2 linked regions of the Oryzias latipes genome follow. The protein of the gene in region 1 interacts with the protein of each later gene in a biochemical or structural test. Links are inferred from orthologs where the notes say so. Each region holds a gene or a part of one and is shown on either strand. Other genes may lie near its edges.

The links. The genes of interacting proteins can lie anywhere in the genome.
Region 2: the proteins of tjp2 (region 1) and cgn form a complex in vitro, tested with the Homo sapiens proteins (2 studies listed by BioGRID and IntAct, with this or other methods). The link is inferred for Oryzias latipes from reciprocal best matches to the Homo sapiens genes TJP2 and CGN.

Annotation. Positions count from the first base shown.
Region 1 is NC_019870.2:25,463,487-25,466,986, reverse strand, and holds part of tjp2 (tight junction protein ZO-2), read right to left. Parts: coding exon 3,438-3,500; intron 3,367-3,437; coding exon 3,213-3,366; intron 2,317-3,212; coding exon 2,205-2,316; intron 1-2,204. UniProt on the Homo sapiens protein: Plays a role in tight junctions and adherens junctions. Acts as a positive regulator of RANKL-induced osteoclast differentiation, potentially via mediating downstream transcriptional activity.
Region 2 is NC_019874.2:18,259,351-18,263,403, forward strand, and holds the start of cgn (cingulin), read right to left. Parts: upstream 2,801-4,053; 5' UTR 2,783-2,800; intron 1,968-2,782; 5' UTR 1,967-1,967; coding exon 1,067-1,966; intron 954-1,066; coding exon 856-953; intron 770-855; coding exon 700-769; intron 581-699; coding exon 485-580; intron 1-484. UniProt on the Homo sapiens protein: Probably plays a role in the formation and regulation of the tight junction (TJ) paracellular permeability barrier.

The sequences.
Region 1 (3,500 bases):
AATGGCACGATGTTTGTTGAAAAAAGAAAAGAAAAAAAAAACGGAAGAGCGAAGGAGTCGTCCATAACTTTATGTGAAGTGTCTCAAATTTACTCTGACGTAAAGACAGAGCAGCAGTGGTCCTCTCATTGTTTTGTTGTTGTTCTTTTTACAGTTAAGAATAAAGACTTGGAGTTTGGTTTACATTTTGGTTCCATCTGACTCATTTCCCAATCCTCTTCTGTGTCATCCAGATGGTTTCTGGAGAACTTTAGTCCGGCCTGGCTTAAGCAAGGGGACCATTGGAGAACTGCAGGACTTGAATCCATGACGACATTGCGTGTTACCATAGTAACCTTTGTCACTGTGGTCCCAGCTCTTTTCAGATCATTGATCAGGCCCTCCGCATAGTTCTGGACCGTTTCCTCACCGTTCTCTAGATCTTTTCTTCCCTGCTGGGTGAGATATTTCAGGAAGCTCCATGTAGAGCGAGATCGTCAGTGATCTTCCATTTTATAACAGTTGACAGTTTCTCTGCAAGCTGCTGCTTATTGTAGATTGGTTCTTCCCAGTCTCGTTCAGGTCTACACGCTTGTCCCTGGTGTCCTTCGACAGCTCTTTGGTCTTGGTCATGGTGTAGTCTGAAGGGTGCGGTCGGGTGTGTTTTATACCGATAACCAGTTCAAACAGGTGACATTAATACAGGTAACCAGTGGAGGATAGAAGAGCTTCTTAAAGAAGAAGTAACTCGTCTGTGAGGGACACAAATCTTGCTAGTTTTTAGGAGATAAATACTTTTCTGCATCATTACACAAATAAATTCTTTAAAAATCAAACAATGTTATCTGCTGGATTTTTATTTTACATTCCGTCTTTGATAGTTGTAGTTTATCAACGGTGAAAATTAGAGACCAAACTACAAACAGAAAGTTTTTCCCCCACTGTACATAATCTAATGTATTTTAAATAAATATTGGTATTTTTGAAGCACAACTACGAAAATGCATAAAACTGACTGTTATGATTGTAAGCAGTTCAAACTTGAAACGGTGGATTTATGATTTCACTTTAGCAGCTTTATTTAAACGTTTTCATTTGCACAGTTGATGAAGTGTTGGAGGCAGCTGTATGAAATGTGCAGTAATGTCTGTTCTGTATTTTATGAGATCATTTGGACTTTGATCCAGCAGCTCTGGAGGATTTATTTAAAAAAAAAAAAAGGGCCCTGACTTTTTTGTTGCAGCCCCTCCATTAAAGAGAAAACGGAAACAGTTCTCTTCCTGCACCTGGGAGCAATCTTGGATCTGTCCTTGACAATCGTCTGCCATAGTTTGAGAAAAGCAACAGGTGAGTATTGAGAGGCTGTGCAAAGCAGCTGGTTCCTCCAGCAGCTCGTGGAGAGGAGTTTCTTTGACCAAGAGTTTCTTCCAACTCGACATGATCCTCTGAAGGTTCAGAGAACGAATCAGCTCATCGAGTTTCATTCTGCTCAGGAATTTCCAACTAAAGTAAAGCTTTGCTTTACTTGATACCCCAGATGAAAAACTCTTCCGGCCTGAACGCCGTTTCCTGTAAACGTCCATCATGATTCTGCAACAACTGAGGATTAACCGTCATCGCTGTTAGACGTTTGACTTCTAAAGGCCAAAGTTGGTAGTTTGATTCCTGGCTTTTGTGGAAAAGATATACACGTAAACTTTACCCATGATGCACTCTGGTCTGTCTCAGAATCACTCTGTCAGCTGCTTGGAATAAAAAAATATCGTTTGGGCACAAAATATTAATCTTTTGGGCGACCAGGGAGCGTTATCCTAACAAAACTAAATCTCTTTAACCCATAAGAACCTTTGGTGACATCAGTGTACCAGAAGAACATCAGAAATGTGTTCTGTAGTCTACTTTGTCCCACATAATTAGCTTTTTTGGGGGGGACAATGGGTGTGGGTTTTATTGGGTTAAACAGTCAAAGTTAAAAATGGAGAATCTTTTTAGGGAAGGGCAGAAACCACAAAGTCAATGACTGAGAAGGCTACATTCAGGCACCTACAGCCTTTCAGGGCTTCTCAACACATCCATGCAATGCATCGTCACACCGCTAAACTACCAGAGGAGAGGCCTCTGCGAAGTAAAGAGCCACATTTCGGAATCACCGTTTCAGTTTAAGCGGAGCTTGTATTACGACGAGCTCCGACAGCCACCGAAATGTGGCCTTCAAGGCTGCGTACCTGGGTTTGTCTCTAAGCCTCTCATTGGAAGAGTGGGAGGAGAGGTCGGAGGGGTGGCCTCGTCTGTCATCCTGTGGAGAGTAAGAGCGGTTCGACTCGATCTCTGAGATATCTGCAAAACACGACACACAGGATGAAAGTTGTGACCTCCCTTCAGACAAGCCAGTGTCTTCACACGCGTGTTCTGGTTACAGACACTCCAAACTGCTTTGGGAGAGGGTTGGATCTATGGGAAATTTGGAAAATTGTCTACTGGGGGCGATACCAGACACAAACGCCCCCTCCTGGAGGATGTAGAGGAATGATCAAGATTTAGACGCGTTGCCTTCTAAAGCCAGGGGCTCAGCTAAATGATTAGCATCAACCCTGTGAACACACGACTCCAGGATGTTCTGAAGCTCGGACGAAAAAGAAAAAGGTTTGGAGCTTCTGCAGCGACAATGAAATTCTGCAACAGCAGGATTATGAAGGGGATTAGATCACCCTGCTGCAGGCGAGTGCACATTTTCACACATGAAGACACGTGCACACACACACACACACACACACACGGAACTAAAGTGGGTCATAAGTCTTAGGGCCATCCCCCCCCTCCCGTAACAAACAAAAACTCACACCACTTATCTAGATTGGTTTTGACCAATGGCGGCGTGCCATCTGGTCATGTGACTTTAAAACCAGGTATAAAGGAGCGAGTGCGATGAGGCGGGGCCTGATGACGGTTAGTGGATGTCTGGTGTTAGTACTGCTCTGCAGAACATGAAATAATGTTTGCGTACGACTAAAGTGGATGTGAGCAAAAGCTTTATTCAATTACTGGATTGACAGATACAACATTGTCATGGCAACAAAGCTGGTTTAAGAATGAACTTCACATGCACTGGGCTTTCTATATGAAGAGGAAGATGGAGGTGGTGATGATGATGATGATGATGATGTCAGCCACTTGCACAGTGTGCTTTCACACCAGATAGGTCCTTCTGCCTTTCTGTTTGGACTGTCTCTCACCATCGAGCTCCGAGTCGCTGTCGACCATGGGCGGGATTCGGATCAGCACCTGCCGCCGGTCCCGCTGCACCACCAGCTGCAGCTTTCCGCGGGACTTCTCGATCAGCTTCCCGGCGTCGCTCAGAGACAGGTTCTCCGTCACCGTCCCGTTAATCTGAAGGAGACACGTGAGATGTAACACCCGACACACTCGCTGGTGCAGACGGTTGGATTTGGCCAAAGCACCTTCAGGATGATGTCGCCCTCCTTCAGGTTCCCGTCTCTGCCGGCGAGTCCGGTGCTGGTCAT
Region 2 (4,053 bases), on another chromosome or scaffold:
ATCAATCCCCTTTGCCTGCTTTGGTTGAGCACGGGTGTTTCTTTTTGCCTACGGGTCCTTTCATCTGACAGTTATGTTGTTTCACCCTTAGTTATTTCTTCCTATTGTGTTTACTTCTTTTTAGCACCATGACTGTGGGAAGGAGAGAGGACGATGACACTTGTGCGATGTACAATGTTTAGTGTGTCAAAATAAAAGTGCAGTGTACGTCTTATCACGTGTCTCTGCCTTTATTGCAGCGTTGCTGCAGCGTGTGTCCGCCACGCCACATATAACATACCGGTTCGTGAGAATTTTGCAAGACATCAAACCGGTCTGTGGTGCACTAAAGGTTGGGGAGCGCTGATTTAGGACATACAAACAGTAAACACCATGTTTTACACAAACATCGTCTAACACCTGACTTAAAGGACAGAAAGAACAGACATTTCTTCCTGTCAGAGGTACGAGGGCCTACCAGCATTTTCATCTCTACTCCACTTACCCTTCTTTCTTCCTGTAGGGCAGTTTGCAGTTCAGCCACCTTTGTCTCCAGCTCCCTTTTTGCTCTCATCCACTCTTCATGAGGGCTTTCTTTAGGCTGGTAACAAAAAGAGTGTAAGACGAGACATACATGTAAAAGGCCTGTTCTACTAAATTGTTAGGGGGGGGGGGGGGGGACTCCTCAGGGAATTTTTGTCAGTTTCAAAATGAACAAACCTTTAGGCTCTGGAGATTCAGATAAATTGCTTCAACTTTCTGTCTGATGACAACATCTCTCTCGTTGGATCTAAAAGGAAGAAAACCCTTCAAGTCATTCACGCTGCAACTAGCTGAACGCACAGATGAATATGGGAGTAAACTCAAGGTTTATACCCTTGTTTTAAGATGCTGTAGAGGTTCTTCATGAGCTGCTCCTCCTCACTGCTCATCTCAGCACTCTGAACCTGGTCCAGCAAAAGGTCAGGGGTCGCCTTCAGACATAGATCAGAAATCTCTGCTTGCAATACTGCATGCTTTGCGGTGCTTAGAGCTCACTCCAGAAACAGCTGCCACGCACAAACACGAACGAACGACGAGTTCTTACCCGTGTGTCAGGTAGGTCCACCTGCAGACGCTCTTTTGAAGACCACTGGCTGCTGGAGCGGGACGCAACTACAGAGCCTTGGTTGCGACCCAAGCTGCTGTTAGTGGAGGACGGAGGAGAGGTGTAGGGGCTTTGGCTGGTGTAAGGAGATGTAGCTCGTGGAGGCTGAAGTACAGGAGGGAGTCCACTCTGCTGGCTAGCAGGTGCTCCACCATCAAACCTGTTTTTCAGCCTGCTGAAAGCACTCTGTCTCTGATTTACTTGAAACTCATGTACTTTTTGGGGTGGGTACGGGTTCAGCTGACTGTCCCTAAGGGACTCCTGTGACCTGCTGAGGTTGGTAGCTTGGTAAGAGCCTCCCCACATTCTTCTTTCCACAGGCCCTTCTCTGCCACTCGCAGCCCACGTCTCTTCGTTGTTACCCCTCACTCCAATTCCTCCGTCCAGATTCCCATAGCTACCAGACTTCCCATCCCCAGGGGGTCTAGACAGCTCAAAATCCTCGATGGCAGGCACTCCATCTCTGTCTAGCAGTGATCCGTGGGATTGAGCGCGGCGCAAAACCCCTCCCTGGCCTCCCCCTTCTCCTGTTTCTCCATATGTTTCCTCCACTCCCAGCCCTGGCTTGACTGTTCTCCGAGGAAGACTACGGTAGTCAGGTCCATAGTCCGTCCTGAGCTGGACCCCGTACGAATCTCCCTTCTGGCCATCTTTCAGGACCACATAGGGCTGGCCGGCAATTCCCTGCACCCTGACTGCTACCCCGTATTTGGAGGAGCTCGGAGGCTTGTTCCTGGGCTGGGGCGCAGGGTGCCTCCCACCGTCTCCAATGTTGTCGATGAATCGGATTTGGACGCCATGGTCGACGGCAGTCTTGTGGCCTGAAGACTGCGTGTTCATGCTGGCAGCAAAGCAGAAAAGAACAACAAAAGTCGGCTTAGGCATTCCTGAACAAAGATTTTTCACTTATAACTCCAGCTTATAACTAAATATTACTTATCCTCATACCTTATACAATAAAAAAACAACTTTTTTATTTCAATTCATCACTCAAAGTCTGTCTGCAATGGAAAAAGGAAGCAGGTTATCGTTCAACATTTGCTCACTGATAAGGCTAAATGAGTAGTGTGAGCATGCTGGGCATTCCAAACGAAGCAGTGGAGGGAAAAACCATAACGTAACCTGACCTGCACAGCTTTACACTGCAAAGTAAAAGTGAAAGAAAACAGGAAGAGCATTAGATCCTAAAAAATCTCCTTCATCTTCCACCTCCACTTTAACAAACTGTCCTTGACCAAATGTATGACAACATTTGATCTTTACCTCAACATCAATTCCAGGTTGTGTTTGCATTCGTTTAGGAGAACATCAGAGAGGATCACCTGACTGGTAATTTGATGCAATTTTTCTTTCGAGGAACAAAGCATTAAGCTGTACAACAATGTGTGTACACTAATACGACTAAGGCACTTAGAACTAAAGCCTTATGCTTGCTAATTATCAAACATGACCTTACATAGCTCTGTTTGCATGTACACTCAGTCACATAAAAAGAACAAGCTCAACTACAGTTCCCCAAAAGGTACTTTTTTCAGTTTGTTTTCAAAATGTCTGAATCATAGACCGACAGGAATATTCTTTACATGTAGAATTAGCAATCAATCTCAGACTAAAAAACAAATTTTTAGGCAAAAATAAGTAAATAAAGACAAACACCTGAAAATACAAACCCAGAGATAAAAGCTTAGTTTGAACAAATGCAGATCTACGGGCGTTTGACTGCTTGAATGAACTTTGTCCTCAGCGTCTCTGTGAGTCATTAACCTGGAGGCACACTGTCATAGATGGCACTCCCCATGTGAGAACCAGCTAAACCTTACTAATCTTTGAAATGTACTAGACACCAGCCCTAATTGCTTTAACCAGACTTGGAAAGCTTAAAAGCACAGAGTTGCTACAACAAACATTCATATCCCTTGTTAGATACTTAAATGAATTTAATATACTATTTTGAAACAGAGAAATTCTAAAAATTGTGAAATAATCTGCCAAACATTTGGTTTAGTTGCTTAAATGCTTGAGATATCATATCAAACTATCACTACTTATAGAAGGTCATTATAAAAAAAAAAAGAAAACAATGCTGTGGCTCATGATACTGACTCCAAAACTATTACAACACTCCCCCTGACCTCGCCACTCTTGCGTATTCCACTTCCCTCCACAGCCTTTTGAGGAGAGCAGCAGAAAGTGGCCAGGGGAAGAGAAAGGGAGGGTGAGGTTTTCTTCTCTTATCAATGCGATAAAATCCAAAGTCAAACTGTTCCAGAGTACAATCCTCCCTCCTGTACACATTGGAAACTGCCTGCAATACTTGCTATCAAACAAGTAACCGTTCTGACGTGGAAAAGGCTCAAACTCAAACCAGACTGGGGAGTTACTGACAGCTTTTCAAATGAATGGAACTGTTAAAGGGAAAGAGCAAGTGATGATCGACCTGAGGATGAAATAATAAAGCGTTTGTATACATTTCACGGTTACTGCCATACATAACCACTAAGCTTAAACAGACCTAATTACCAGATTTGAAGAGATGGTCAATTATTTCCCATCCTTTGGGAGCTGCAGAGAAAGCTCCCTGCCACAACACATTTATTAAGTCATGCATGAAGTCTGCAGCCTGCTGCCTCAAACCAAGTCATGCACTGAAGACTGTTGCAAAGATACGTCAAATGAAAAACACATGCAACAATTTTTAGTGGTGCTTTGTGATGTTTTTGTCGGGGGGCAGTTGAATCTGGTCACCGAAAAGGAAATTGCACAGCGAAGGTATATAGCTTTAGAGTTTGGCTCTTGGTTTTCACTGCTGTAAATGTTTTATTTTTGCTGGGTCAAGTAGGCATTGCCAGCTCAGAGGGACAGGGGTGAGGTGGGGGAGAACCCATCCCATTGTCTGATTGATGTGGGGCGGAAAACCAGGGCAGCAA